Lonchura striata: one gene and its partners. The protein of the gene in region 3 purifies or fractionates together with the protein of the main gene of each other region. This does not show direct contact. Links are inferred from orthologs where the notes say so. Each region holds a gene or a part of one and is shown on either strand. Other genes may lie near its edges.

Evidence for each region.
Region 1: the proteins of NHERF2 (region 3) and LPAR2 purify together in Homo sapiens (affinity purification with western blotting; 3 studies listed by BioGRID and IntAct, with this or other methods). This does not show direct contact. The link is inferred for Lonchura striata from reciprocal best matches to the Homo sapiens genes NHERF2 and LPAR2.
Region 2: the proteins of NHERF2 (region 3) and KCTD5 purify together in Homo sapiens (affinity purification with mass spectrometry; 3 studies listed by BioGRID and IntAct, with this or other methods). This does not show direct contact. The link is inferred for Lonchura striata from reciprocal best matches to the Homo sapiens genes NHERF2 and KCTD5.
Region 4: the proteins of NHERF2 (region 3) and ARHGEF6 purify together in Homo sapiens (affinity purification with mass spectrometry; 3 studies listed by BioGRID and IntAct, with this or other methods). This does not show direct contact. The link is inferred for Lonchura striata from reciprocal best matches to the Homo sapiens genes NHERF2 and ARHGEF6.

Annotation. Positions count from the first base shown.
Region 1 is NC_134623.1:1,985,931-1,992,881, forward strand, and holds the start of LPAR2 (lysophosphatidic acid receptor 2), read left to right. Parts: upstream 1-3,935; 5' UTR 3,936-3,944; coding exon 3,945-4,677; intron 4,678-6,920; coding exon 6,921-6,951. UniProt on the Homo sapiens protein: Receptor for lysophosphatidic acid (LPA), a mediator of diverse cellular activities. Seems to be coupled to the G(i)/G(o), G(12)/G(13), and G(q) families of heteromeric G proteins. Plays a key role in phospholipase C-beta (PLC-beta) signaling pathway.
Region 2 is NC_134618.1:17,567,662-17,575,124, reverse strand, and holds the start of KCTD5 (BTB/POZ domain-containing protein KCTD5), read right to left. Parts: upstream 3,019-7,463; coding exon 2,785-3,018; intron 1-2,784. UniProt on the Homo sapiens protein: Its interaction with CUL3 suggests that it may act as a substrate adapter in some E3 ligase complex. Does not affect the function of Kv channel Kv2.1/KCNB1, Kv1.2/KCNA2, Kv4.2/KCND2 and Kv3.4/KCNC4.
Region 3 is NC_134618.1:16,765,796-16,772,908, forward strand, and holds the start of NHERF2 (Na(+)/H(+) exchange regulatory cofactor NHE-RF2), read left to right. Parts: upstream 1-4,104; 5' UTR 4,105-4,144; coding exon 4,145-4,354; intron 4,355-6,319; exon of another isoform or gene 6,320-6,448; coding exon of another isoform or gene 6,449-6,463; intron 6,464-7,113.
Region 4 is NC_134616.1:184,277-191,993, forward strand, and holds the start of ARHGEF6 (rho guanine nucleotide exchange factor 6), read right to left. Parts: upstream 3,013-7,717; 5' UTR 2,915-3,012; coding exon 2,750-2,914; intron 1,740-2,749; coding exon 1,656-1,739; intron 1-1,655. UniProt on the Homo sapiens protein: Acts as a RAC1 guanine nucleotide exchange factor (GEF).

The DNA of each region.
Region 1 (6,951 bases), on a different chromosome or scaffold from region 3:
TGGGAATGAACCAGTCCCAGTTTGGAAATTAAACTGGTCCCACTTTGGGAATGAACTGGTCCCAGTTTGGGAACTGAACCGGTCCCAGTTTGGGAATGAACTGGTCCCAGTTTGGGAATGAACCAGTCCCAGATTGGAAATTAAACTGGTCCCAGTTTCGGATTGAGCCAGTCCCAGTTTGGGAATGAACTGGTCCCAGTTTGAGATTGAGCCAGTCCCAGTTTGGGAATGAACCAGTCCCAGTTTGGGAATGAACTGGTCCCAGTTTGGGAACTGAACTGGTCCCAGTTTGAGATTGAGCCAGTCCCAGTTTGGGAATGAGCCAGTCCCAGTTTGGGAATGAACCGGTCCCAGTTTGGGAACTGAACCGGTCCCAGTTTGGGAATGAACCAATCCCAGTTTGGGATTAAACTGGTCCCAGTTCCGGATCCCGCTCCCGGAATTTTCCCCGGATCGGGATTTTGGGTTCCCGGGATCGAATTTCAGGCCCCGCCCGGGGGCGGCTCCCGGAGGTTCCTCGGAGGAATTTTCCCCTTCCCGGATTTCTTCGCGAGCCTCCAACTTTTAACCAAAAAAAAAAAAAAAAAAAAAAAGGAAATTTTGGGGATTTTTTTTTTTCCCGCCGGGAAGCGCCGCTGGAAATGGGAATTTCCCCCCTGGAGCGCCGCGTGCTGATCCCAGGTGAGAATTCCCGGAATTTCATCCCAAAATCCCCCTCGGAGCCTTAAAAATGGGGGAGGGGGAATTCCCCGGGAGGGATAAAAAAGGGAAAAAAAGTGAGATTTTTGGGTTTTTATGGAGTTTTCCCGGTTTTTTTTGGTGTTTTTTTGGGAGGAGAATTCCAGCCAAATTCCAGGGGTTTTGCCCCAAATCTGTGCGGGCCTGCGAAGGAGTAGGGGAGGCCCTTTCCGGGTTTTTTTTCCAGGAAAAAATGGGAATTTTAATGGATTTTTAAGGGATTTTGGGAGGGAAGGAGGTCCCGAGGGAGGACGGGGAGGGGAATTCCCAAAGGGGAGGGAAAATCCCGGAAAAGAGGGAAATTTCCTCAAGGAAAAACCCCAAATCCAGGGGGAAAACCCCAAAATGCAGGGAAAAAAACCTCCCCAAATTCAGGGGAAAACCCCAAATTGAGGGGAAAAAAACTTTAAATCCAGGGAAAAAACTGAATCCAAGGGAAAAAACCCCAAATGCAGGGAAACATCCCCGAAATCCCGGAAAAAAAAAACCCCACTTAATTTCAAGGAAGAAAACAAAAAAATACCAGGGGAAAAAATCCAAAATCCCATTAAAAAATCCCCCAAATCCAAGGAAAACACCTCAAAATACAAAGAAATAACCCCAAATTCAAGGAAGAAAACAAAATCCAAGGAAAAAAAACCCAAATCCAGGAAAAAAATCACAAATCCAAGGAAAAAGCCCCTCAAATCCAAAGAAAAAACTCCAAAATCCAAGGAAAAAACCCAAAATCCCGGGAAAAACCCCAAATTCTTCCCAAATTCCCGCCCCCATCCCGGAATTTTTTGCAGAACCGCTGGAAAAGGCTCAAAAAAAAACCCCAAAAAAACTTGGAAAAATGCAAAAAGTAGCAGAAAATTCCTTTTTTTCCCCCCTTTCCCAGAATTTTGGGAACAAAGGAATTCCTGCAGCTCCCGGTGGATTTTTGTGGAAAGAATTCCAGGCGGGAATTTTGGGAATTTGGGGTGGTTTTAATCCCTTTTTTTTGGTTTTTTTTTTTTTTTTGGTTTTTTTTTTTTTTTTTTTTCCCCTCTTGGAATTGTTTGGATTCCCGCGGGAATTCCAAGGTCGGGCTGGGAATGTTGGGAAAAGCTGCGGGGGGGGGGGGGGAAATTTGGGATTTCCCCGTTTTTTTTCCCCAGGATTTTTGGGCTTCTCCAAGGGTTTTTTGTGGTTACATGGGGGGGAAATTTGGGAATGAATTTTCAGTGATTTGAAGACGGGGGGAAAAGAGGGAAAGGGGATTTTTATGGGATTTTTATGGGAATTTTCTGGGATCTTATGGGATTTTATGGGATTTTGTTGGATTTTTTGGAGTTTAAGGAATTTTATGGAATTTGAGAGATTTTTGTGGGATTGGGATGGGATTAAAAACCCCTTTTCCTCCCAAAAAAATCTGGGAATTCCAGGATTTTGGCACTCCCAGTACATTCCAAAAGCAATTCAAGGAAATTTGGGATCAAAGGTGAAAGGAGGGACATCAAGAATGGGAAAATTGAGATTAAATTGGGATTTAAACGGGATTTTAAAGGAATTCCCATCTTGAAAACTCCCCCAAAATCTGGGAATTCCTCCCAGATTTCCTTCTGAGCCCCATCCCATCAACTCCAAAATTCTGGGATCAACAATTCCCAGCTGGAATCAGATCCAAACATCCCAAAAAACCTGGGAAAAACCACCCGGAGCAGCCTCATTTCCTAATTTCCCCCCTCCTTTTTTCCCCTTAAAATTTCCTAAAAATCCAATTTTTTTCCTGATTTTTGCGGGGATTATCCCAGATTTTCCCCTCATAGCCTTGGGAATGTTGGGATGCAAAGTCCATCCCAAGGAACAATGGGAATTCCTCGGGAATTCCTCAACTCCAGGGATTTGTTTGCCCAAGGAGGAGAAACCGCCCCGGAAACTCTGGAATAAAAAAATCCAGGAAGGAAAAAACCTCGGGATGGGAGGATCCTGAAAATTCCCGAGTTTGGGATTCAGGGGAGCACAGGTGAGCCAGAATTTGGGATTTTTTTCAGAATTTTGGAGGGCTTTCTCCCCAGATTTGTTTTTTTTGTCCTAATTTTTAGAGTTTCTCCCTAGTTTTGGGAGTTTCCCCCAGTTTTGGGTTGGTTTTTATTTTTTTAAATTTTGTGGTGTTTTCCCAAATTTTTCCCCATTTTCCTCCCTTTTTTCTCATTTCCCCCCCCCATTTTACCCAAAATCTTCACTTCCCCTATTTTCCCCCAAAATCCCCATTTTTCCCCCATTTCCCCCACTTTTTTTCCCCCCCATTTTCCCCATTCCCCCATTTTTCCCCATTTCCCCCCATTTTTCCCCATTTCCCCCATTCTTTCCCATTTCCCCCATGTTTTTCCACCCCCCCCATTTTTCCCCCAAATCCCCATTTTCCCCATTTTTTCCCCAAATCCCCATTTTCCCCCATTCCCCCCATTTTCCCCATTTCCCCCCATTTTTGCCCCAAATCTCCATTTTTCCCCATTTCCCCCCATTTTTTCCCCATTTCCCCCACCCCCATATATATTTTTTCCCAAATTCCCAATTTTTCCCCATTTCCCCCCATTCTTTCCCATTTCCCCCATGTTTTCCCATTCCCCCCCATTTTTTTCCCCCAATCCCCATTTTCCCTCATTCCCCCCATTTTCCCCATTTCCCCCCATTTTCCCCATTTCCCCCCATTTTTCCCATTTCCCCGCATTTTCCCCATTTCCCCACATTTTTCCCCCAAATCCCCATTTTTCCCCATTTCCCCACATTTTTCCCCCATTTCCCCCACTCCCCATCTATTTTTTTCCCCAAAATCCCAATTTTTCCCCATTTCTCCCCATTCTTCCCCATTTCCCCACATTTTTCCCCCATTCCCCCCACCCCCCATATATATTTTCTCCCAAAATCCCAATTTTTCCCCATTTCTCCCCATTCTTCCCCATTTCCCCACATTTTTCCCCCATTCCCCCCACCCCCCATATATATTTTCTCCCAAAATCCCAATTTTTCCCCATTTCCCCCCATTCTTCCCCATTTCCCCACATTTTTCCCCCCATTCCCCCCACCCCCATATATATTTTTTCCCAAAATCCCAATTTTTCCCCATTTCCCCCCATTCTTCCCCATTCCCCCCCATTTTTCCCCCATTCCCCACCCCCCCATCTATATTTTTCCCCAAAATCCCAATTTTTCCCCCCAAACCTCCCGGCAGGCCCCCCGCCATGAAGCACTGCTTCTACAACGAGACCGTCGGCTTCTTCTACAACAACAGCCGCAAGGAGCTGAGCGCGACATGGCGGCCCAAGGACGTGCTGGTGGTGGCCCTGGGGCTGGCGGTCAGCGCCGTGGTGCTGCTGACCAACCTGCTGGTCATCGCCGCCGTGGCCACCAACCGCCGCTTCCACTACCCCATCTACTACCTGCTGGCCAACCTGGCGGCCGCCGACCTCTTCGCCGGCGTGGCCTACATGTTCTTGATGTTCCACACCGGGCCTAGGACCGCCCAGTTGTCGCTCAAGACTTGGTTCATCCGTCAGAGCTTGCTGGACACCAGCTTGACCGCTTCGGTGGTCAACCTGTTGGCCATCGCGGTGGAGCGGCACCGGACGGTGCTGACCATGCAGCTGCACAGCGAGATGTCCGCCCAGCGCGTGGTGGGCTTGATCTTCTCCATCTGGGCGGCGGCGTTGCTCCTGGGCTTGATCCCGTCCTACGGCTGGCACTGCCTGTGCTCCTTGGAGAGCTGCTCCAGGATGGCGCCGCTCTACAGCCGCAGCTACCTGACCTTCTGGGCCGTCTCCAACCTGGTGGTCTTCCTGGTCATGGTGGTGGTCTACGGGCACATCTTCGTCTACGTCAGGAGGAGGATGGCGCGCATGGCGCGGCACACCGGCGCGCACCCGCGGCACCGCGACACCGTGCTGGCGCTGGTCAAGACCGTCACCATCATCCTGGGTGGGTGGCTCGGTAGGGGTTAATTGGGTTGGTCATCGTCATCCTTGGTGGGTTGGTCATCGCCATCCTCAGTAGATGGTTAATTAGTGGTAATTAGGAGAATTGGGTTGGTCATCGTCATTCTTGGTGGGTTGGTCATCATCCCCAGTGGGTGGTTAATTAGCAGTAATTAGGGGTTAGTTGCATTGGTCATCATGTCATCCTTGGTGGGTTGGTCATTGTCATGCTCAGTGGGTGGTTAATTAGCCATTAATTAGGGGGTAACAGAGGTGCGCACCCGCGGCACCGCGACACCGTGCTGGCGCTGGTCAAGACCATCACCATCATCCTGGGTGGGTGGCTCGGTAGGGGTTAATTGGGCTGGTCATCATCATCCTCAGTAGATGGTTAATTAGGATTAATTAGGAGAATTGGGTTGGTCATCGTCATCCTTGGTAGGTTGGTCATCATCATCCTCAGTGGATGGTTAATTAGCGGTAATTAGGGGTTAATTGTGTTGGTCATCGTCATATTTGGTTGGGTTGGTCATCATCATCCTTGATGGGTTGGTCATCATCATCATCCTCAGTAGATGGTTAATTAGTGGTAATTAGGAGAATTGGGTTGGTCATCGTCATTCTTGGTGGGCTGGTCATCATCATCCCCAGTGGGTGGTTAATTAGCGGTTAATTAGATAACAGAGGTGTGCACCACGTGACAGACACCGTGCTGAATTTTATCCCGGAATTCTTTGGGCCATAAAGAACCGAAATCCCATTCAGGAAGTGACCGAAAAACACCAAAAATTCCCATTATTTCCCCCTTTTTCCTGTTTTTCCAGGTGCCTTTGTGCTCTCCTGGATCTTTTTTCCATCTTTTTTCCATCATCTCATTCTTCTCCCAATATTCCCAGGGGGATTCCATGGAATTCTTCCTGGAATTCTTCAGGCCATAAAGAACTGAAATCCCAGCCAGGAAATCACCAAAAATTCCCATTTTTTCCCCTTTTTTTCCCGTTTTTCCAGGTGCCTTTGAGCTCTCCTGGATCATTTTCCCTCAAAGATTGAAATCCATGGGGATTCCATGGAACAATTTCATCCCGGAATTCTTCGGGCCATAAAGAACCAAAATCCCAGCCAGGAAGTGACTGAAAATTCCCATTTTTTCCCCTCTTTTCCCACTTTTCCAGGTGCCTTTTGTATCTCCTGGATATTTTTCCCATCTTTTTTCCCTCATCTCATTCTTCTCCCATGATTTCCTACAGGGATTCCATGGAACTATTTTATCCCGGAATACTTTGTGTTGAAAATAACTGAAATCCCATTCAGGAAGTGACCGAAAACCACCAAAAATTCCCATTATTTCCCCCTTTTTCCCGTTTTTCCAGGTGCCTTTGTGTCTCCTGGATCTTTTTTCCATCTTTGTTCCCTCATCTCATTCTTCTCCCAATATTCCCAGGGGGATTCCATGGAATTCTTCCTGGAATTCTTCAGGCCATAAAGAACTGAAATCCCAGCCAGGAAATCACCAAAAATTCCCATTTTTTCCCCTTTTTTCCCCGTTTTTCCAGGTGCCTTTGTGCTCTCCTGGATCTTTTTCTCTCAAAGGTCGAAACCCATTGGGATTCCATGGAACAATTTTATCCCAGATTTCTTTGGGCCATAAAGAACCGAAATCCCAGCCAGGAAATCACCAAAAATTCCCATTTTTTCCCCTTTTTTCCCCGTTTTTCCAGGTGCCTTTGTGCTCTCCTGGATCTTTTTCTCTCAAAGATTGAAATCCATGGGGATTCCATGGAACAATTTCATCCCGGAATTCTTTGGGCCATAAAGAACCGAAATCCCAGCCAGGAAGTGACCGAAAAACACCAAAATTTCCCTTTTTTCCCTTTCCCCCCCCGTTTTTCCAGGCGCCTTTTGTGTCTCCTGGATCTTTTTTCCATCTTTGTTCCCTCATCTCATTCTTCTCCCAATATTCCCAGGGGGATTCCATGGAATGATTTTATCCTGGAATTCTTCAGGCCATAAAGAACTGAAATCCCAGCCAGGAAATCACCAAAAATTCCCATTTTTTCCCATTTTTTCCCCCATTTTTCCAGGTGCCTTTGTGCTCTCCTGGATCTTTTTCTCTCAAAGGTCGAAATCCATGGGGATTCCATGGAACAATTTTATCCCAGATTTCTTTGGGCCATAAAGAATTGAAATCCCAGCCAGCAAATCACCAAAAATTCCCATTTTTCCCATTTTTTCCCCCCGTTTTTCCAGGTGCCTTCGTGGTGTGCTGGACTCCCGGCCA
Region 2 (7,463 bases), about 800 kb from region 3:
ATTTCCAATTAATTATTTTCATTGGGATCAATACTGGATCTGGATACACTCAAGTCATACCATCAAGCTCTTGGCTCAAGGCTGTATGCTCTAACATGAATATTCTGATTTTACATAATTTAAAAATTTTACATAATTTACATATTATGAGTTCTGATAAAGGCAGCAATATGCAGGAAATACAGTCGGTTTTGGTACTAAATTTGAATTTATATATAATTGTCATCCTTATAATCTGTGCTTTTTAAATATTGAACTAGTGAATTTTCACAAACTGTGTGGCCTAAAAACTTTGAGTGTTTGCAGACTAATAGTACTTATCAAAACTACGTAAGTAACACAACCCACCTGACAACTCATAAATCTCATGGACAAATTAAATATATCTGTTACGTCTTAGAATAATGACTACAATTTAGATATTTCTTAATGCTGACAGTCAAGGTTGTGCTACCACGAAGACTTTGATTTTTCTAAACCACTCAGTGCTTGCATGCTTCCTTCTTTGACAGATTCTATGCCAACTTTAAAAAGGCATTAAAAATTAAGCATGAATACTACTGCCAAAACCTTATACAAAAGTATGACAATCTCCTTCTTACGGGAAAGTTAAAAGAATGCTAGAACAGTTTGCAAAGAAAAAACTGGTATACAGCTAAAAAAGGAAGATGCTGAAACAAGGAAATACATGTAAATTATTAGCAGTAATGCAGTAAAAGCATTAAATTAAACAATGATGACAAGGTGATCAAGGCTCTGCTTGTCTATTTTAATGTATTCATCTCTAAACCATTTAGATTTAAATACCATGGAAAACAAATCCTGTTCTGAAAAGTAAATATGACCACTACTGCTCATTTTTTTTCTGAAATCTGAAATGCTTCTCAAACAGTTTTAAAGCTGTGAGTAATATTGTGAAACATACTGAATTCAGAGAGTCAATTTCATTATTCTAATCCATTCAATACTAGTTTGGTCACAGGGTGTGCCAAAGATTAATCTTTCTCCCATTACAAATGGAAACATACCTGACAGCCAAGAGACAGGCTGCTCTGTCCTACTCAACATTAGTACCTGAAGGCAGTTTAAAGGCCAACATGCTACCTTTTTTGAAGCCTCTCTGTTCTTTACAAGCAAGCAAGTAAATCACAGAATCACAGAATATCCTGAGTTGCAAGGGATCCACAAGGATCAAGTCTAACTCCTGGCCCTGCACAGCACAGCCCCAACACTCCCACCATGTGCCTGAGCTTTGTCAAGCTCATGGCTTGGGGCCATGACCATTCCCTGAGAAGCCTATTCCAGTACTCAACCAACTTCTTTGGAAAGAACCTTTTCCTGATATCCAACATAAACCTTCCTGACACAGCTCCATGCTGTTCCCTTGGATCCTGGCAGATCCAGAACAGAGACTGAAACTGCTCCTCAAGAAGAACATGCAGACACCAATGAGCCTTCCCTCAGCCTCCTCTTTTCAGCTGAAAAAGCCAAGTGACCTCAGCTATTTTTTTATATGTCTTTCCCTTCAGAAACTTTGTGTTCCTCCTTCAGATGCTAAGAGCCTTAGATCCCTCTGATATTGTGGTGCCCCCAAAACAGAGCAGAATGGGACAATCCCCTCCCTTGCCCAGCTGGCAATGCTGGACAACAGTGCAGGAAACAGTTGGCCCTCCCATTTGCCAGAGCATATGGCATTGCTTTATCTTTTAATTAGGAAACCTTAGAGGAATGCTTTCCTACTCTCCCACAAAGACAGTTTACCTATCAGCAAGCCACCTAGATTTTTAAATTTAGTTTTATAGGTTAATTTAAGCTCTCCATAAAAACCTCAACCAAAACCAAAGACAACTAAAAACATTCCCATACCACCACACTTCAATTTTTTTTTTCTTCTAACTCAGGAACATTACATTCTGTACCCTATGTTAAGTGTTCAAATATCCTTTCTGAAAGTTATACCTGAAAAACTGATGAAATCTACTAACCTCACTGGAAAAAAAAATTACATATAATAAGCAACTCCTTATTTTCAACCTGTTGGTTACAGAGTTATAAGCTGTTCCTTTCTTTTCCCAAACTGTACTGGAAAATGGCTTTTTGTCCATGATGCTTCAAAATTTCTTTCAGAGCCAGGACTATACACTTTATATCCATTACTACATACCATATCACAAATAAAATCTCAATAACTTTCTTCCCCTACTAAAATTGAATCAGAGTGAATACCAAAATATTCACCCACTACTTGCAATCTATGCAGAATATGCAACATTTTTTCTCTAAAAATTGCTTAAAAGACAATGTTACGTCTAAGTGAGAGATTGTTATCAAAAGTCCTTTGCTCTGGTTCTTGTAATTGAACAAGAGAATAATGACAGTGCAGAAATAACACAATGTCAGTGCATGCAGATATTTCATTAAAACGCTAAAACTAAACCCCATCAGACAACATAAAAATATTACACAAATGTACAAACGACACTACGCTGTCTGCTGTATTTATGAGCAGTTTTGTTATTCACGAACCCAACTACTTCGCACGACATCACTCATTAAGCAAAACTCTTCAAGGAAGACTCCCTCCACGGCAGCAGAGTCGTTCCTGCCTCCCCTCACCGCGGCGCCGGGCCCCGCGCTCCCTTCACGCCGCGGCCGCCCAGGCAGGTGGCACAGCGGGACCGGGCTCAGCCGCAGCGCAGCCCCGGCGCGGCCGGCGGGGAGCGGGCCCGGCGGCGGGGCAGCGAGCCCGAAGCGGGGAGCGGGCGCGGCGGGGCGCGCGCTCACCTTGTCCGAGTCCAGGTCGGGGTCGGCCTGGCAGAGGCGGAAGAGGAAGGACTTAGGGTCCCGGCAGAGCGTCTGTCGAGTGGTCAGAAAGCAGGTGCCCCCCACGTTCAGCCTGACCCACTTGCCGGGCCCCGCGCCGGGCAGCGGCGCCGAGCTACACCGACGGCAGGGCCCGCCCGCGCCGAGGCCGCCGGCCGGGGGCACCGGGAACTCACAGTGGTTCTCCGCCGCCATCCTCGCCGCCGCCGGAAGGGGCCGCCCCGCCGCCCGGCCCCCGGCGCGCCGCCCACCGGAAGCGCCCGCTGGAGCAGCGCCTGCCCCTTCTCGCCCACCGCCCCGGCGGCGCCGGCGTGGGGCCCCGAGCAGCGGTCACGGCTGCCACACGGCCGCGGCCCGGCTTACCCCATGCCCCTCGCCCCACGGCGGAAGGAAGAGGCGGAGGCCGCGCAGAACCCTACATGCCTTTATTACAGACTACCAAGCATAAGTGAAATCCGTCATCCAGTCACTAACTACACATCTACAGCACAGAGATCTGTCGAGAGGAGAATAAACAGTCATTAAATTATGAGATATGATTAAATCATCGACCAATAGAAAATTTATATAATAAAGCCAGAAAAAAGGTGTAAAATATAGTTTACAATAATTATTCACATTCAAGGCTGTACATCAATACATACAACACCATGGCCCCGAACATGAATTCAATCCAAATAATTCATATATTAGAATTTAAATAACACAGACTGAACTAGAGGCCAACAAGAGCCAGCAAATAACCTTAGAAGAATAAAAATACAAAAGTGTGTATCATATAATTGCATTATTTGCTTCTGTTTTCACAAGTCCTGGAAGAGGGGAGATTGTTTCGTGGTTTGCTGAGTGGGGGTCAGGGGTTTTGTTTCTTTGGGGTGGGTTTTTTCTTTTCTTTCTGTACATCACAGTTACAGCTACAAACCACATAGAGAATATTACATGTGTAGCTGACTGCCACCAACCTGAAAACAGCATACAATATCAAAACTGATCGTGGTTCCTCAATCCTAATTTTTCTCTTTTATCAGATATAGTTTTCAGTTCTGCTACCATTTCGAACATTCACCACATCAAGTCTGTTAGTACATGGCCATAGGAAGTTTTGTCAAATGGCAATCATCTACATTCATGGCCCAGCTGACAGAGCGATCTCTCTCTTGACCAGGGACAAGACTTGATGAAATGGCATGAAGCTGAGAGCTTTAGGGTTTGGTGTCAGGAAAAGATCACAGGAGCTTTAGATTAGGCGTCAGGAAAAGGTTTTTCACTCAGAGGGTGGCTGAATACTGGAACAGGCTCCCCAGGAAGCACACTATCAAGCCTGCCTGAGTTCAAGGTGTCTGGCACATGGTGGGATTGCTGGGGAATCCTGTGCAGTGCCAAGAGTTGGACTTGATGACCTTGAATCTTTCTAATTCAATAGATTCTCTTTATGCTAAAATGAGGCTATTGGGTGTTTAAGAACCTCTCCAACTGTTTATTGCATAAGGGTAATTTCTTCTATGAAAGAGGAAACATTCTGAAATTATCAGTCATAAATGAAAACATGCCATTTTGGATTACAGAGCTACTTGTCTGTAAGCTCACTTGATCAACTGATAAACAATCTGCATCATGAGGCTTTGCAGGAGGATTTCCACTTGATTCATAAAATATTTCCATGAAGCATTACAGGCATTCAGCAAAATTTCAGATAAAAATACTGCACCTATTTGTGCAATTTACTAGTAGAAAGAATGATCAGAATCCATCCAGAGGCCACATCCTTAGGCAACTATTACACAAGTTCTCTCCTCAGCAAGGTGTTGAAATCAAATGTTTTTTCCACAGGCCAAATGAAGTAATTGTCTTGACTTTACTAAACCATTCAGAAGAAAATGTACAGGCGGGAAATTCCCATAATTCTTCAAAGTTCCCAGCACAAAAAACAATTGTATCAAACACATTGAATTAAGCATCTTGAACTATGAAAGCTGATTAGAATAATCACATCTTTGTTTCAATCCACAATTCTTTTCAGACTTGTATATAGCAGATACCTCACAATTAAATCACATCAGAAGGAGAAAAGTAGAGCACAGTACTGATAATTTGATCATTTCAGCAACTAAGTGCCTAGCAAATGGAACTGTAATAGGCAATATCAGTCTGCTAACAATGCCTCAACATCACATCTGAAGTAACTCTTTCTTAATACAAAACTTTTACAAAACTGGACTTTAAGGCAAATGGTTACAAACTGATTTCTCAGTTTATTGAAGTAGTCCTTAACTTGTGACTGGGCAGTAGTACTTCATCCTTTTTTGAGCTCCACACCAAAGAAAAAGATGGAATAAATACCTTTCTGAAGTTCAAATACTAAGCAAAGCAAAATTACAACATTATTGACCAGATTCTTCATACATGATTGACAATTGTTGAAATTCAAGAGATGGAATGAATCAACAGATTTGGTTTTCAGAAGGCATGCAGTAAGGAGAAATCTTAAGAAGAGTCTTCAAGTACCTAAAATTTTTTTCTGCTTTGAAAACCTTGGATTAAAAGCAGAAAAATCACCTGGCCTATGTGCAGCTCTGAAGAACCTCCCTTGCACATTTCATTCCATGAACTCCCATGAGCCACAGGAGTGATCTTCAGGACAAAGACCTGATTCTACCCCACATCAAGTATAAAAATTTAAAATGGGTACCAGCCCTTCATGGTATGCAGCACTTCTCAACACACATTTAAGTGGACAAACTGGTAAAACATACTTGAATCCACAATTGCTTTGTGATGCCTCACTCTATACTCTTGTCACTTTTCAAACCCACAGATTCTACACATAGTCCAAGAAATAGAAATATCTCTCCCAGGAAAGTTCTAGCTCTTTCCCAAAAAAGCAGTAACTATGTAAGACTGGATTAGGAATACTGAAGCTCTAAATGGAGTGATGCCTGTAAGAGATGCTTACAGTTTTCCAATAACAGCTTTGTCAATTAAAAAAGAAAAAAGGACTTCTAGAATGCAGACATTAGCATTCCAGATACCTTCTTGACAGCTTACTGCTACCAAGATTTACAAGGCTGGCTGAAAGCTTTTGGTGGGCAGGATGAAAGCCTATGGACAGATTTCCAAGGTGTCAAAAACCATAATTAATTTGCTATGGTAAAATCACTAAAAATCTAAATATTACAGAAAACATGTTTAAGCACACCTAGATCTCTACCTCGTTAACAAGCCAATGGAGGTAATTTTGCCAGACTTTTTAAGTGATGTCAAGTTTTGTCACACTGAACAGCAGTGGCACTGTGACTCTCCATCACTGCCAAACTCTCCTGTATTAAGTTGGGAATATGTCTGTCTAGATCTTAATACCAGAGACTAAATCCAAAAGCAGTAAGGTTGTCTCCAGCGGACACAATACATGGCTGGAATTTGACAGCTGGAGAACAAATGGATAGCATTGCAACAGACTTAAAATACATGTTATCTTGGTTAGAACAGCATGTATAACTCACTACAGACACAGATCAAAGGTACACTATGCTATTCAAATTTGAGTGATGAGTATACTTTGTATGTGATGGAATTTCTCATGATGCAAAGGGAACATTTTTCTGTCTTCCTCAGCCATTTACAGGACCCCTTCTCCCCCTTAACACCAGACACAGTAAGCCAGGGATTTGCTTCTCTCAGTTTTCCATATGTGGTGGGTACAGAAGACTACAGGAATGCAGTTGCTCCAAAAGAAAAGGCAACTGCACTGTCTCTTTTAAAGACTGGAAAAGCTGAACTGCCATCAAGTTCAACCACATAACACAGTTTTTAAGAGATCAATAATAAATCTCCTTCACCCTGTAAAAGAAAATATTCTACATTCACATATTTTCTGAGAAATCTGATAAGCTATTGTTCTTAAAATACTGCTTCTAGAGAACAGTAGCCTATGAGTTTTTTCAACATTGTAGAGAAACCTTTCTTTGGTGGAAGGAAAAGCACATCATAAATGTGCTTTTTGTCAAATATCATAGTATGACAACTCAAAATGCAAAGTAATGGTATATGCAATGAGTGAATAAGTAAGTGCGATGTTTATACTGCTTTTAAAACAAGGAAGGAATGCCTTTGTCCAGACCTAGGTCATTCTCCTCTGCAAGGTTTAGGAACACAAACTTGTAGAAAATACCACTGGGGAAGTTTTTTTTCTAGCACACAGGAAGATGTGTCTTTGTAACATGACAAGAAATGTTTGACCACAAAACCAGCCATAATTGGAAAAGGATAAAGAAGATTGATATGAAAAATATTTTCATTTTATAGATATGCTTTAAGTACCATGTATTTTCCCTTTTGTATCAATATTTGGCTTTGATTTTCTGACCAGATTACTTTATTATCTGTATTTCAACTCCTTACAGTTTTTCCAGAGCTCCTGAATATTTGGCCAAGGACCAGAAATAGAATTGACATCTCATTACACAATGAGACAAAAAAAAAAAAAAAGTCAAGTAATCAATTGTACAAAAATTGCACAATTGTACACCTCCTTCTCTACCCAAGACAATAGGTTGGCCCCACTAAAATGCACAACACATGCACAACCTGGAAAGAAAGCTTCTAGCTCTCATCTGCTGAAATGGTGAAAAACTATCTACTAT
Region 3 (7,113 bases):
ATCTAACCTGGGGAATGTTTACAGCTCAATAGTGCCACACGCAGAGGCTCGGGGAAAATGAGTTGGTGTTTTTTATGAGCTCTCCTCTCATTCCTGGTTCCTCCGGCAGCACAGATAAATCATCCCCTTTGAAATCATCCCCTGGGAGCAGCCAGGCCCGGCAGCCCCACGCTGAGCCATGCTGAAACAAGGCAGGAATGAGCACGGAGCATCCGAGCCGCTGGGAAATCCCAGGACTTCATTTATTCCCAGTTAGAGCCGGTCGCTGCGGTGCCAGGGGCTCTCCCAGCAGGGATCCCCAGCACCGGGAGCAGCCCTGGCTCGGCCACAGCTCCCTGCACAGCCAGCAGAAGGTGCTGGGCTGCCCAAACTGCGGGGAGGAAAGCTGGCTGTGGATAAACACCAGCACTGAGGAGGAGGAGGAGGCTGAGCGGGAGGAAGAGCAGCTCCCACAGCTGGGAAGGAGCCAGGAGAGCTGGGAGCAGCTCCCAGCCCCAAGCAGGATGAGCTCAAGCGACATGCCGGGACAGGGATGGGCTGAGTGGGACATGGAAAAGCCACCAGAGCTGCCCAGAGCCACTCGTGGAGGCACGAGGGACACACAGGGCTCCTGGCACCTCAGCTGTGAGGAACCCAAAGGCACGTGGAAAACTTCCCATCCCTCTGGAAGCTCTGGCACAGCCCAGTGACTCCATCATCATCGACCATCCTCCTCCTCAGAGGGCTCCTCACCCTCCCACTGCCTCAGGAGCAAAGCTGACTGCGCAGGCTTGGGGGCTCAGCTGAGGATTTCCCAGTTTCTGCAGGAAGATGGACTTTGTGGGCTCCCCAAAATCCCCACTGGCAGCTGCCAAGGAGCCTGGAGGCCGACTCTGATTTCTGCAGCTGGGAAAGTCCTCCCAGCACCTGCATTTTGGATTATGTTGCAACAGCATCAGGCCCGAGGCAAAGGGAGGAGGACACAGGTGGGATTCTCTGTCACTGCCCAGAACTGGAAGCAGATGTCGACCAAAAAAAGCTCCAAACCCTTCCAAGGCACGGAGCTCACAGGTCCCTGCACTGCCTCTGCCTCCAGGCAGGCCCAGTGTGGACTGAGAGATGTGCCTGAGTCAAAACACCCAAAATTTACATGGAAAACTTCTGCCTGAGCAGGATCTGCAGGGTTTACCCACGGCTCTGCCATTCCAGGCGCAGGAACCTCTCTCCTGTTCTCAGTGAGACCTGGGAGGATGGGAAAAGGCAGGATGGGGAGAACCAAAGGGATTTTGTACCTCGGGAGGATCTACCTTTGCACGATGTATTTTAATGTTCCTTCCAGCTCCTTCTCCACCAGCTGCAGGGAAGAAATGCAGGATTTCCCTGTGATCCATGTTGGTGCCCAGGGATGCACGCTGGGATGATCCCAGGACAGCCCAGAGCTGGTGCCAGAGGCACAGCCACAGCTCCTGAAGTACAGCGATCACAAAATAAATGTTTTATTTTAGGATCACAAGGTGCTCAGGCAAAGATCCAGTGCTGAGTCAGAGCTACAGCTGACTAGAGCGTCCCCTACATCCTCCACAATAAATAAATGGGGTTTTTTGGGGAAAGAATGCCCAGGGCACACTTGAGAAAATGCTTGTGCTTAAAAAAAAACGTAAACAACTGTTTCCCCCCTTTCTGAAATATTTTCTCTCTGTTTTATTATCTTTTAAAAAAAAATTTCATGCTCCCAATGCTTTCAAAAAGATATTCAAAAGGGTTCAAATATTTACTCTGACCACCTGAAAGATTTTCTCCCACTGTGTTTTTATTGCGCCAAATGCAAAGAAAAACTTTTTGGTTCAAATAAACTTGAAACAATTCCTTCTCCTCCCCCTTTCCCTCCCATATTTTGGTTTAGCCAGCGAGTGGAAAAATCAATTCTTCGCACTCCTCCAGCCCGACAAAAAGCTTCAGGACTCCACAAAGAGGCTCTGGGGAGCAGCTGTGCTGTACAGCAAATAAACCTGCCTCAGTTTCTCTGCTTCCTCTGGGTCACCCAGGACTTCGTGCTGAGGTCGGCGCTGCTGGGGTGACACAGGCAGTGCAGGGGCCAAAGAACCATCACTGGGGAACTAAAACATCCTCCTGGTGGGACCTCAGATCTTCATGGGGGACTAAAACATCCTCCTGGGGGACATCAGATCCTCCTGGTGGGACCTCAGATCCTCCTGGGGGACATCAGATCTTCATGGGGGACTAAAACTTCCTCCTGGGGGACATCAGATCCTCATGGTGGGACATCAGATCCTCATGGGGGACATCAGGTCATCTTTGGGACATCAGGTCCTCATGGGGGACATCAGATCCTCCTGATGGGACATCAGATCCTCATGGGGGACATCACATCCTCCTGGGGGAACTAAAACATCCTCCTGGTGGGCCATCACACCCTCCTGGCTGCCACACGTGTCTGGAGGCAGGGCCTGAGCCCGTGCCCACCCCACGGTGACAGACAGCCCAGGGGACAGCACCGGTGCCCCCGGTAGCCCCTGCCCTGCAGCTCCCAGAGCCACAGTGCCTGCAGGGAACGAGGTGGGAAGGACTGGCAGAGATAAATAATGCTGTGATTTCTCAGGATGCAGTCTCCAAGCATGTTTGTGGTCCCGGGGTTTTTAAGGGTGAATTTATGTATAACTGCAGTGGAAGTAGGGTTTTTAAAGCAAACTACGCATTAAAATAAATCAAGATTAATTTCTGGAGCCTTTTCTTTCCAGCCTCCAGCTGGCTGCTGTGTTTGCTTCAGCCCTGTAAAATCTGGGAGGAAAGCAGATGAGGAAGGAGAAGCTGCAGAAGAAGGCCTGAGAACCTGTGTCACAGGAATGTGACACTCGGGGCCAGCACTGTGACAGCTGCTCTGGGTCACGTCCTCTTGTAAAAGATTTCAAGGAAATGAAGGTGAGGAATGCAAAAAGGTGAAGACGGGGATCTCTGTGTTCCATTAAACAAACTCAGCCCAGGTGAAACCTGGGTGGCCTCTCCAAGCTCAGCCCAGATGGAGCCGGAGCCTTTCCCCACCAGGAGTCATCGAATTTGGAACGGTTTAGGTTGGGAAGGGCCTTAAGGGACTTAAAGCTCCAGTGCCATCCACCCAGTGCCACCCCTGCCATGGGCAGGGACACCTTCCACCATCCCAGGCTGCTCCGAGCCGCGGCCAGCCTGGGGACACTTCGGGGATGCAGGAGCAGCCACGGCTTCCCTGGCACCCGTGCCACAGGGAGCCGTCGGATCGTGCTGCTCGGGGCTTCTGGCCCCGGGGCTCCACCAGCCGCTGGTGCCGATGCCGGTGCCGGTCCCGGTGCGGCGCCGATGCCGGTGCCGGTGCCGGTGCCGAGCCCGGTCCCGGTGCGGCATCGGTGCCGGTCCTGGTCCCGATGCCGGTCCCTGTGCCGATGCCGGTGACGATGCCAGTCCCGGTCCCGGTGCCGAAGCCGATGCCGGTCCCGGTCGCGATCCCGGCGCCGATGCTGGTGCTGGAGCCGGTCCCGGTGCCAGTGCCGATGCCGGTGCCAATGCCGGACCCAGTGCGGCGCCGGTGCCGATGCCTGTCCCGGTCCCGATCCCGACACCGATGCTGGTCCCGGTGCCGATGCCGGTGCCGATGCCGGTGCCGGTGCCGGTGCCGGTGCCGATGCCGGTGCCGGTCCCGATGCCGGTGCCGGTGCCGATGCCGGTGCCGGTCCCGATGCCGGTGGCGGTGCCGATGCCGGTGCCGGTGCCGATTCCGGTGCCGGTCCCGATGCCGGTGCCGATGCCGGTGCCGGTGCCGATGCCGGTGCCGGTGCCGGTGCCGGTGCCGGTGCCGCCCCGTCCCTCGCTGCGGCTCCGCCCCGTCCCCTCCCGTCCCGCCGCCGTCCCCGCCCGCCGCGCTCCCGGTGCCGCGGGGCAGCCGCAGCATGGCCGAGCTGCGCATCGCCCCGGCCCCGGCCCCTCGCCCCGCTGCTGCCCCGCTCCCACCGCCGCCCGCAGCCCCGGCCCCGGCCCCGTCCCCGTCCCCGGCCCCGGCCCCGGCCCCGGCCCCGGCCCCGGTCCCGACCCGCCCCTCGGCGCCCGCCCCGGGCCGCCCATAAAAGCGGCCCCGCGCCCGCCCCGCTCCGCCGCCGCCGCCGCTCCGCCGCCGGCCATGGCCAAGGACCAGCTGAAGCCGCGGCTGTGCCGAATGCTGAAAGGGGAGAGCGGCTACGGCTTCCACCTGCACGGCGAGAAGGGCAAGAGCGGCCAGTTCATCCGCAAAGTGGAGCCCGGCTCGCCCGCCGAGGCGGCGGGGCTGCGCGCCGGGGACCGCGTCGTGGAGGTGAACGGGCTCAACGTGGAGCAGGAGACGCATCACCAGGTGCGGGATGGAGCGGGGCACACGGGCACCGGGGCCGAGCGGGGCCGTGCCCGCTGCAGCCTCCCTGCGGCGGGCAGAGCGGGGGTTTCACCCAAAATATCCCCGCCGGAGCATCCCCGGCCGGGCAGCGCTGGGCTGGCCGCAGCGGTGCGGTGGATGCTCCCCCGAAATGCCGGGGCCGGGCTTTGCGTGGCCCGGGATCCGCAGCTCCGTGCGGGGTCGGGCTGCGGGCGCAGGACGCTGCAGTCGTGTCAAGGTGGGGAAGGCGAAGGTGTGCGGGGCTGGGCAGGGCTCTGCCGCGTTATGCAATCTGTGGTGGAAAGGAATGGGGAGACCCGGGCTTTATTTCCGGCTCTGCCGTGGGTTTTCTTGGCTGCTTCGGGCGAGCTGCGCCTGCCTGTGCAGCCCCGAGTGTGGGAAGATGCCTGAAAATCTGCAGATAAAGCCGTGCAGATGTTCGGCAGTTGGGCTGGCCGGGGAGCGATAGGGCTCGGAGGGGAGCCGTGGCTCTCCCTGACCACGCTTGGGCAGGTCCAAGGCTGCCGTTTCTCTGCTCTCCAACAAAAGCTGTTTCGGGCTGTGGCATTTTCTCCTTGTAAAACTGAAACTTGGATTTGTCAGACAGTTTAGTCTAAAAAACCCAAAAAATGCGGAAAAAACAAAACAGCAAGCAGCGAGGTTCGAGCTGCTCCAGTCCTGCTGGACACTCGGAGCCTGGCAGGGGCACAATTTGCCTCGTGGTTTGTGGAGCTCTGCAGGATTTGGTGTTTTAGTAACTTAAAACATCTGCTCAGCCCCGCTGCCAGCGCTGCATGGGGGCAGAGCTGGGATGTGCCGTGACCCCACAGAGTTTTGGGGGGCCGTGTGTTCCCAGACCTCACTCCAGGTGTGCATGTTGCCGTGCTGGAGGTGAAACAGCCTTCCAGGTGGCTCCAACAAAGCCTGGTGGACTCCTCTGGATGAGCCTGGTGGGGTTTGGTGGCGAGTTGAGCTTGTTTTGACGCTCCGAGCCAGCCGTGTGAAAGTTGATGTTTGTCCTGAGTGGGATTTCAAACCCCTTGAAGGAGGATCCCCATCTTTGATGTGGCTGGCCAGGAAGGAGGGCTGGGTTCCTGTGGTGCCTTGGAAGCCACCAGAGCTCCCTGCTGGCGCTGGGCTGCTGGGGACGGGCGATAGCGGAGCCAGCTGTGCCTTTGAAACGTGCTGGGGCTTCCCAGTAGGTCAAGTGAAATGGGAGGGGGAAATTTCCATTTCTTCCTTTTTGTTTTTTCGTTTGTGTTTTTGCTGCTGGCGGCAGGATGGAGCGCTGGCACTCGCTGGCTGCTGCAGAGCAGTGATTGGAACGAGGTGTCCCCATCCAGGGTGTCCAGGAACTCGCCCGGTGCCCGCTCTGGCTGCCGTGGCATCTGAGAGCGAGAGTGCAAGCGCTGGGATCACCCTTTTTCCTGCCTCAATACCACAAGAACCTCTTCTTCCCCCAAAACCTCGCCAGCACTGATGGGCCGTGGCGAGGGCGATGCCCTGGTGGGTCACACGGTGGCTCTGAGCAGCCACCTCACCTTGGTCCTTCCTCGTGCTGCTCCTTGCCCAACCTTGAACAAGTAACACTTCTCCATGTGCCCTGGGGAGCCCGCAGCACACAAGGCCTTGCTCTTTGGGTGTAACTGTGTTTCCAGCCGAAGCTGGCAGCATTTTTGTCTTTGTTCTCTTGGTTTTTTTTCCTGGCCTTGCCCAAGGAGCGAAGGCAGAGCGTGCTCTGTCTCAGAGTTGCGTCCTGGGTTCCTCGGAGCCGGGCAGAGCCGCAGCTCCTGAGCACAGAAAGGTGCCCGGGGAGCCTGGCAGGATGGAGCAGGGCACGGGCACCTCTGCGGGAGCTGCTGCTGGCACCGTGAGTCCTTCCTGGGCGCTGCCGTTTGGCGAGGGTGGAAGGGCCCGGGGCTGGCGCTGCCGGGCTGGCGCTGCCGTCACCAGGGGTAAAGTCTGCTCGGGTGGGGCTGCGGAAATCCTGGGGCTGGGTCGGGTGCTGAGGAGGTCCCAGATGAGCAGGACGGGCTGCATTGTCTCCAGAAGCCTGCGGGACTCCAGGCTGGGAGCATGGCTCGGAAGCGGGTACGGTGCTGGGCAGGAGCTCGCCGGGAGCTGCTGCTTTGCCCCCCACCTCTCTGCTCTGTCCCCAGGGAGACCTGCTGCCTTGGGGGGCTCCTCACAGCCCCTTCTGCTCATCCTGCTCGTGGGGAGGGGGCAAGGGGCTGCTCTGTGCCACTCTCCACCCCTGGCACTTGTACCTTTGCTCCATCGCTGCTCTCGCTGTGGCTGTTGGGGGGCTCGGCCGTGGGGTGAGCCCAGCACTGCTCCACGCCAGCTTTGGACCCTTCTGTGGACCCTCTGAGCATCTCTGCGGTCTGTGGGACCCCTGTGATCCCCTGTGCTGCCTGCAGCACCCGAATTGTGGGCTCTGGGGGATGGCACTGCAGGGCCAGCACCTTCCCCGTCCGCATCTTTGCTGCCGAGCTTTGACTGCTGCTGCTGCCAGGTCCCCTCGGGGAGAAGTGCCCCTGCCCGGGCACTGCTGGTGCCAGCAGATGTGAAGGGATCTGAGCGGGAGCAGATGGATTTTCTGGGCCTGATGGATCAGCCCCTCCAGGCTGCTCGGGGGTGGGCTCCCGGGATCGCTGCAGTGGATGGCTTAGCTCAGCCCTGGCTGCAGCCTGGACATTTCTCGCAGGCTGGTTTTTTTTTTTTTTATTATTTTGTTTGCA
Region 4 (7,717 bases), on a different chromosome or scaffold from region 3:
ATGTCTTGCCCACCATTTCAGCTGTCCTACCTTAAGCCTTCTGCATGAGGCTACAGAGAGGAGCTAGGAAAAAGCAAAATTCATGTATTCACTTGGTCTCTAATACGACAATATTTTGGAAAAGAAAAAAAAAACCAAGAAGAAATTGTTGTCATTGCACTGCAAAATTTAAACTTGAACTAGATAGGTTCAAGTTTTTATTCAGCTTTTGAAGTCTCCTCTCACAGCAAACAGGAAAGGCACACATGAGCATAAGGGAAGCTACTGAAGGCTCAGAATATTTCATTGATGAAATGGGTTATAAATAAGAAAAAAGAAGCCAGAAACCTTGAAATTATTAAAGCCAAAGAAGAAAAGGCACATGAAAGATCAGAGATGGAGATGGACATGCCACGTTGCCTGTTCTGAGTATCTAAAAATTGTGGAGTGTGATTGCAATATTACAGAATGAGCTTCAAAGTTATGAGATGGCACTGCACAACAGGTGAGGACTGTCCCCCTGTCCTACCTTTTAGCTGTTTAAGATTCCCATTTTTTAAAATACCTTCCAGCACAACCATTTTATTATTAGTTTGCAAACAGAAAACTAAACTCAGAAAAACGGAGGAAATCACATGGTCAGTATCAGAAGACTGGCAACAACTGACTCCTGATGCAATAGGCCTTCAGGGATTATAAATCTCTCTTACTATATATATGCTCTTAAGACTGTGCTGCTGCAACAGGCTCCAAGAAATGCATCACTGGGCAACAAAAGACCAGGGAGACAGTTCTGGAATGAGCACATTTTTATGCTGCTTAGCTAAAAAGCTCTAAAGAGAAGAAAGGCCCTTTTCTTGTTTAGACCTTCAAAGGAAAAAAATGCAGCAACAGAGCTATTATGGGTTGGACTTTTCTCACTGTGGTGCATGAATATTCTGTATAATGTCCAAGGATTCTGTCCCTGCTTCTGGCAGACTTGTCTTCAGAAATTTTTTTTTTTCCCCACAATATTGAGCATATTTCAAACAAGACAGTTACAGCAGGATGTTTTTGTTTTGTTTTTACTGCAGGAATTTAAGTCTGACACAAAAGTCTTTAGCTAGTAAAAAAATTGATGGCAAAATTAATTGAATTCTGAAGTGATTCACTTATAATCTGATATTGCAAATATGAGCTATGGTTAAGCATAAGAATTGACACAGATAGGATCAGGAGCAGCCACAAGAAAGGTATCTTTTCACTTCATTAGGACTATTTTTTTGTGTAAGGAACAATTTAATATATGTTTGGCAGAATCTTACACAACAGCTGCAGGGGATGAAAAATATAGTGCAGAATTAAGAATACTTCACCTTCCCATGAAAGCATGGCTAGTATCTGCAATTCCTTCTAATAATGAAAAAAATATTATTAACAGGTCCAGGTTGAAGTCTGTTTAGACAGACCTCCTGTTATTGCTGCATGTTTTGTCTCAAAATATGAGAATCTGTTAAGCTCACAGTTAGTACAGTTTCCAAAATACCCAGACTGAATATTAAATCATCCATGCTCTGATTTATATTAATAAAAAGGATGATGAATTGATACCAACTTTTTCCCTCTGGTATCTGGTTTCCTTTGAGGCTGATCAAACTGGCATGTTACAATAAAATAAAGGATCTAAGTTGACTTACCTCCACTTTCAGAAGTGTGCAGCCTTTCAAGAACTCTTGAATATTACTGATGCAATCAGCTTCATTTTTAGGCTCCAGGCAATACTAAAGAAAGAAAATCCACTGATCTCATTGCATTGCCAGTACTGAGAAGGCCTGCATGAATATTGACATGTGCCTTTTATACTGAATTAGGGAAGCTTCTTCAGAGGGCGGGTGGGGGTGGCAGGCAAGCTGTTGAAGCAGGAAGAAAGCCACTGGAGGAAGTGATGCACACATAGAAGCTGTCGGCATCTTGTTTTGAATGCCAACATACCACAGTGCTGTAAGTGACAGTGGGAGATTGATGACCTTTAGCAACACGCTGCCCTGAACCACCCCAAGTAAGAAAAAGATAAGGAGCTAGCAAAACTGAATTCTGCATAATGAAAGACTCCTTTTTTATAGGGTGGAGAAACTTGAGTAGTTGCTTTTTTAAAAGCTTCTCTTCTGTGTTGCCAGTTCCTATCTCTCATTGGACTCCTTCCCTTTTTTTTTCCTTCAGATTCTTATCACACTTCTGGACTGTGAATACACACCTTGTCAAACTATAACAGGCGGCATTCACATGGTTTCAGTACCAAGAGATTTGCTGGTCTTGGGACAGACCAAATAGCACAGATGCAAGCCTTATTTGCTTATTCCTGTTCCAATCTGCTTCTCCAGTGCATTTCCTAAATAACAAAGCATTTTGCCGTAAGAGTTCTGAAAGAGTGAATGTATTTACAGTTGTAATTAATTATACTGATGTATAAACACTGACACACTGCATATCCTTCTATTCGAAATCAAGATATTCTGATCTCTGGTAAACCAAGTATTTCCTGCCACTGACTGAACATGGGTAAGGGAGTCAGCTGCAACCTTGCAGGGTTTTTTTTTTCTGGATGTAGAAACAAAATCCAGGAACCAAAGCTACAATCATACTTGGCTTTCAATTAGGAACTTAAATGTGACATTTCTCTCTGAAGCTCCTTGCCCTCTCACTAGAGTTACTGGGCCTCAGAATGCCCAGGGCAGGGTTTCATTGAGCAGGGCTCTGTCTCAACGTAGTGAAATACATCAGGAAACATTACCTTTTCTGCAGATCCCGGAAGAAGCCGATTAACGAGTTTGCAAAGCACAGTTCCATCTTTCAGAGAAGTTTTCAGGAACCCCTCTGGATCATCCACTATTTTCTTAGGGGAATTTAAGACTCCTAGTGAAATAAGCCACGTTACAATCTGTTCTTCTGGATTCATGGTGGAGAGCTCTGCTGTTTGAGAGCTGTTCCCCTATACAACAGCGTACTGGAACCCACATCCGTGATTACATCTTCCTGCTGCAGCTCAAGTTGAAACTACTTTTTTTTTTTTTTTTTTGGCTTGCTACAGAAACCAAATCTTAGGAACTAAAAGAAGTTATCTAAGGTACAAAACTGTTGTCAAAATAAAATAGTTTCTAGCACTCAGTAGGAGACAGGGAAAGCAGATTGTTAACTACATCTTTGCAAAATTATTATAGATGCAAGTATTTTATATGGATAGTTATTACACCAAAAGTATCTCGCATAGGGACTTCCTCCTTGTGGCAGCTGGCACCCTATCACCTAGTAAATTTGGTCTGAACTTAAGGTTATTGCCCAAAGAAATAAATTTCTTAACACTGTAAATAATGATGTATTTCCAGTGTTAAAACAGAATTCAAAATGGTGATGTTTTGGAGGAATGTAGGACTAAATACAGATCTTCAACTTTGTGTGGCTATTAAAATTGCCTTTTACAGTAATTTTCTATTTTCCATTGTCTGATTTTTGAAAATAAATTCTGATCATATATTTAACACATAAATAATGCCTCTCTTCAACTGCTGTGCAGAAGTCCACATATAATCCAAAATGGTTATTTGGAAGATGATCATCTCTCAAAACAATTATCTGGATAACTTCAAAAAGGTCAGAAATTTAAGTAATCCAAAGCTGAGAATAAAATTCCCAACTATTTCACTTGTCTTATTAAGATGTCCCTTTCTACCACCACTTCAGGATCCTCTGTGAAGGTAGTTTTCCACCCTGCCCAAGGCAGCATTAACCACCACTACATATCACAGCAAGTCAGAAAAGTCCAGTCATCTTTATAACCGTCCTTTCACCAGAACAGATGGAAAATGAAGCAATTCTGTTGATGAAGCTGGAACATCATGGCTTGAAGAATCCAACAGGAACAAAGTATCCTAGAGACCAGAATTTCTTGGTTACAAATGTACTCAGCCAATTCCTACCCTGTTACTTAAAGCAGCTTTCTAGAACCCAGTGTTACCAAACTACTTATGATTTAAAGGGTCGGGAAAAACAGAGCAGCAGTGATAAACTGTACACAGTAAATGTGCATGGTTTTGCCTCCACTTTACAAGTCTTATGACTGGTACTGGGACCTACCTAAGGACAACTTTTAAGAGCTACCAGTAAATAAGAACTGTCCTTTCAGGCTTAGACACAGTTCTGACCTTTTTCAGGACTTTGGGATGAGTTCCAGGTCTCTGTAGTGTGGAAATACTCTTAACACATGTCTGCAGGCACTGTGGAAAAAGTGGGTTACAGCTCAATCACAGCTCACTGCTCTTTGGTGAGACACAAATTTATGTGTGCAAAATATTTCAAAATTATGACCCGTTGGCAATTCAGTTGCTTTGGGCTTTCTTTACCACTTGTCATGAACGCTACTGCTTTACAGAAGGAAATACATACATTATCCATAATTTCATAAATCTTTCTTCAAATCTGTAGGTAGCCAAGACAACTACTAATGCTTATTTATCAGTGGGGACACGCATTCAGATATAGAAGACACCTCATCAGAACACAGCAGTTTCTGATGTAAAGAGAAATACTTCCAACACTGAGAGAATTGCATACTTGTTTCATGGAAGTCAGTGTGTCACAAACCTGAACACTGAAGTACTGCACCTACTTCCTCCTCTAAAGGAAACCTTTGGTATAGATGGGCGGGTTTAGTTTTACGATTATTTCACATGCAGTTGCTACAGCCAAGCAGATGTCTGCGACTACAATTAAATGAAAATACTTCCCACATCTTGAACACTTATCAGCTGCTTGAAAGACCTGCAGATACGAATATTCATTAAGTCCAAAAATTTATGGAGTTTTTGATTAGTCACTTCATACCCAACCTCACATCCTTTAGAATCCTTTCTAAACACATTCCAGCTTGTTTACCCACTTCCACACCAAAATTAATTCTGTGGCAAACCCAAGGTATTAAGGTAGAGCCCCTAAGGAACAGTGTCTGGTCTGGTCTTTGGAAAGGCTTCACCTCTGTGTACTTGCTGACAGCAACAAATCAAGCAAATCATCAATCATCTCTTGCAGAGTCAACTTAGTTAAAAAACCTTATTTACAGCCTGATTTATATCAGTGATGAGTAAATAATACAGTGTTTTAAAAGCGGGTGACTTTACCCAACTACCTGTGACTCTGGCAGCATACACATCACGACAGCACAGTGACAGGAGCAAGGTAAGAGATGAGCAGTCACATATTCAGAAACCATTTTTGAGTGGTTCTTCTTGAAGTCACACATACTTAAGTAATTCATTATTTTTTTCCAGCAGAGGGAAAACATTCAACCACAAAGAACGGCACTGGAGTATTTGTCTGCTGCAGAATCTATTGATACGTTTCAACTGGTAGCTTTCAACAACAAAGTCTGACTCTGTCCATGAGCTAATACTGTAGATCAGAGTACATTCTCATTAATTAGGATTTTAGGCAGGCACGAATCATACAGTAGCTGCCATTTGGCATTACACTTTAGGTAGGATGATCCAGTTCAGCCTGAACAGCAGTGCTCAACACTGTAAGCTAATAGAGTACTGTAAAAGGAGTCAGTACAGAATGTCCCTCCTCCTTGCAGAAGAGATACTGAGAACACTTTGAAACAATAACCTTCCAAGATGTAACACTAGTAATCTTGACTACCATCCAAGTGCCTCTGAGAAGAATATGTTTTTCTTTTAAATTAGAAAATAAAACCCCAAACCCATAATACTTGTTAACAGTAAATTTATTTGCCCTGGGAAATACTGCAGTTCTACCAATCTGTTATACAGATTTACACCTAGAATCTGTAGCCCATAATTGAGGCTCAAAGCAATATCCTCACCCCAAACATAAAGTTTAAATCTCTAGACAAGGTATACATGCTTTTTCTTCTTTAGCTACTCATTATGAACTGAGGGTTGTTTAAATGAGATCGGTTTATGAAGTCAGTATAAATTTTATTATTCATGATTGTTCATGGCTTTTCTACATGAAATACCAGTGCCTGAGGATTCCAGTCACATACACTGGCATATCAATATGTATGTAAGAGAAAAATACATCAAAATCAATACAAAGTTTTGAAGGAAGCACCTACTCCCAAGAGATGTACTGCTGTCCAGTGTACATAGAGGAACACTTCATTATTCTGGCCATTCATCACTAACGCTGTCTGAGTACACCAACACTCCCCTCTTCTCAATCCAGAAGGTTGGGGCAAAACTGTTAATGTAATAAAGCAGAACTTTCTGTGTTTTCTTGGTGAAGTCCTCTGTATTCAAGAGGACTAAGACTCACTTCTGTGTAACCTGCTCTTTTTATCAGCATAAATGGCAAGCACAGACATAAAAGCCAACCGAAGTATTTTGCTGCTAGGATGTGTGTGTAACGAGCAACAAACCAGCTCACTCTGCACTGCTGGAAGGTGCGAACTATGGCAGACAGCGGTTCGCTTCCACCAGAAATTTTATGTATATCCAAGAGATCGGTAGTGCTACTTTCAAAGGCAACTCCTGAATGCTTACACAATCCTCTAGAAAATGGTGGGCAACACTACACTCAAAAGCCAGGCTGCATCAGTTGTGATTTGTTATCCTTTGATTTTCCAATGCACATCCACTGCTGCACTGCCACCTTTTAGTCGCTGCAACTGGAAAAAGGAAATGCAAGTTAGTACCCTCTCAGAAGCCAAGAGATAAAAATGCTAGATTATCTTTGAATTCATTTTATATATACAGTTAATGCATTTGGATTGTATTTGATCTGTTCCAACATTATGAGAGCACATCAATAGCTAACTATAATAATCAAAATGCCCTGAGAACAGCTTGTATTAATGCACACTGCTTGTGTAACACTGTCTCCAGGGCAGGTACTAAGTACCACAATTCCTGGGTGTATTCCCCCTTCAAATTCTACTCACCACAAAATCCCACCAGCTCTTGGTAATCTCAACATGCTACTCAGGAGTTCTGTTATACACTGGTATACATACTGGTATTAATCTGTAAGCAATAATGTGCTATAAATAAAACAGAACTTGCAATCAAGGGAAGGTATACAGCTGGCAATTTCATTTGCACCCTGATTTTCCACAAGGCTATTATTACCCTCCTTGCCATAAATTAAGGTCTATTTACTGCTCCCTTAACATTGGTACCATGCCTGTTAAGGATCTGGAAACATTTAGAAACTGAAGAAAAGGCTGACAAAGTGCACTTTTGTCTCCAATATCCATATTTTATTACAACATGGTTACAACAGATTTACTAAACTGAAAAAAAGCACCTATTTTTTTTTTAAAGGAAGCTTTTTCACTTGTCAAGAATAATTAAGCTTCAGCTTCCCAACAGAGAGAACTGAGGTGCACACACATTTAGTTTAAAATGTTCTGACACAACCTATATGATGATTTGTCAATATCTTTTGAGGTCTCCTAGAATGCTGCATTAAAGACAGCATTTCATCCTCTTCATTAGAGGATTTAAGACCTACATCTGGGTCAAACTATAAATTTCAAAACTGACTCCTGGTGGTTTTTTGCAGGTGAGTGGGGAAATGAAGGGGAAATGCTATTTTTAGACCTATTTCCATAATCCCCTTTAGTGGCACACTAGTGACATCAGTGATTTTTAAAGGAAAAAGGTTAAGTTTTCTTAACATTTAGCAACACTTATTGTGAAGTATCCTTTCAGTAAGACTAATTTAAATATTTCAACAGTCACAT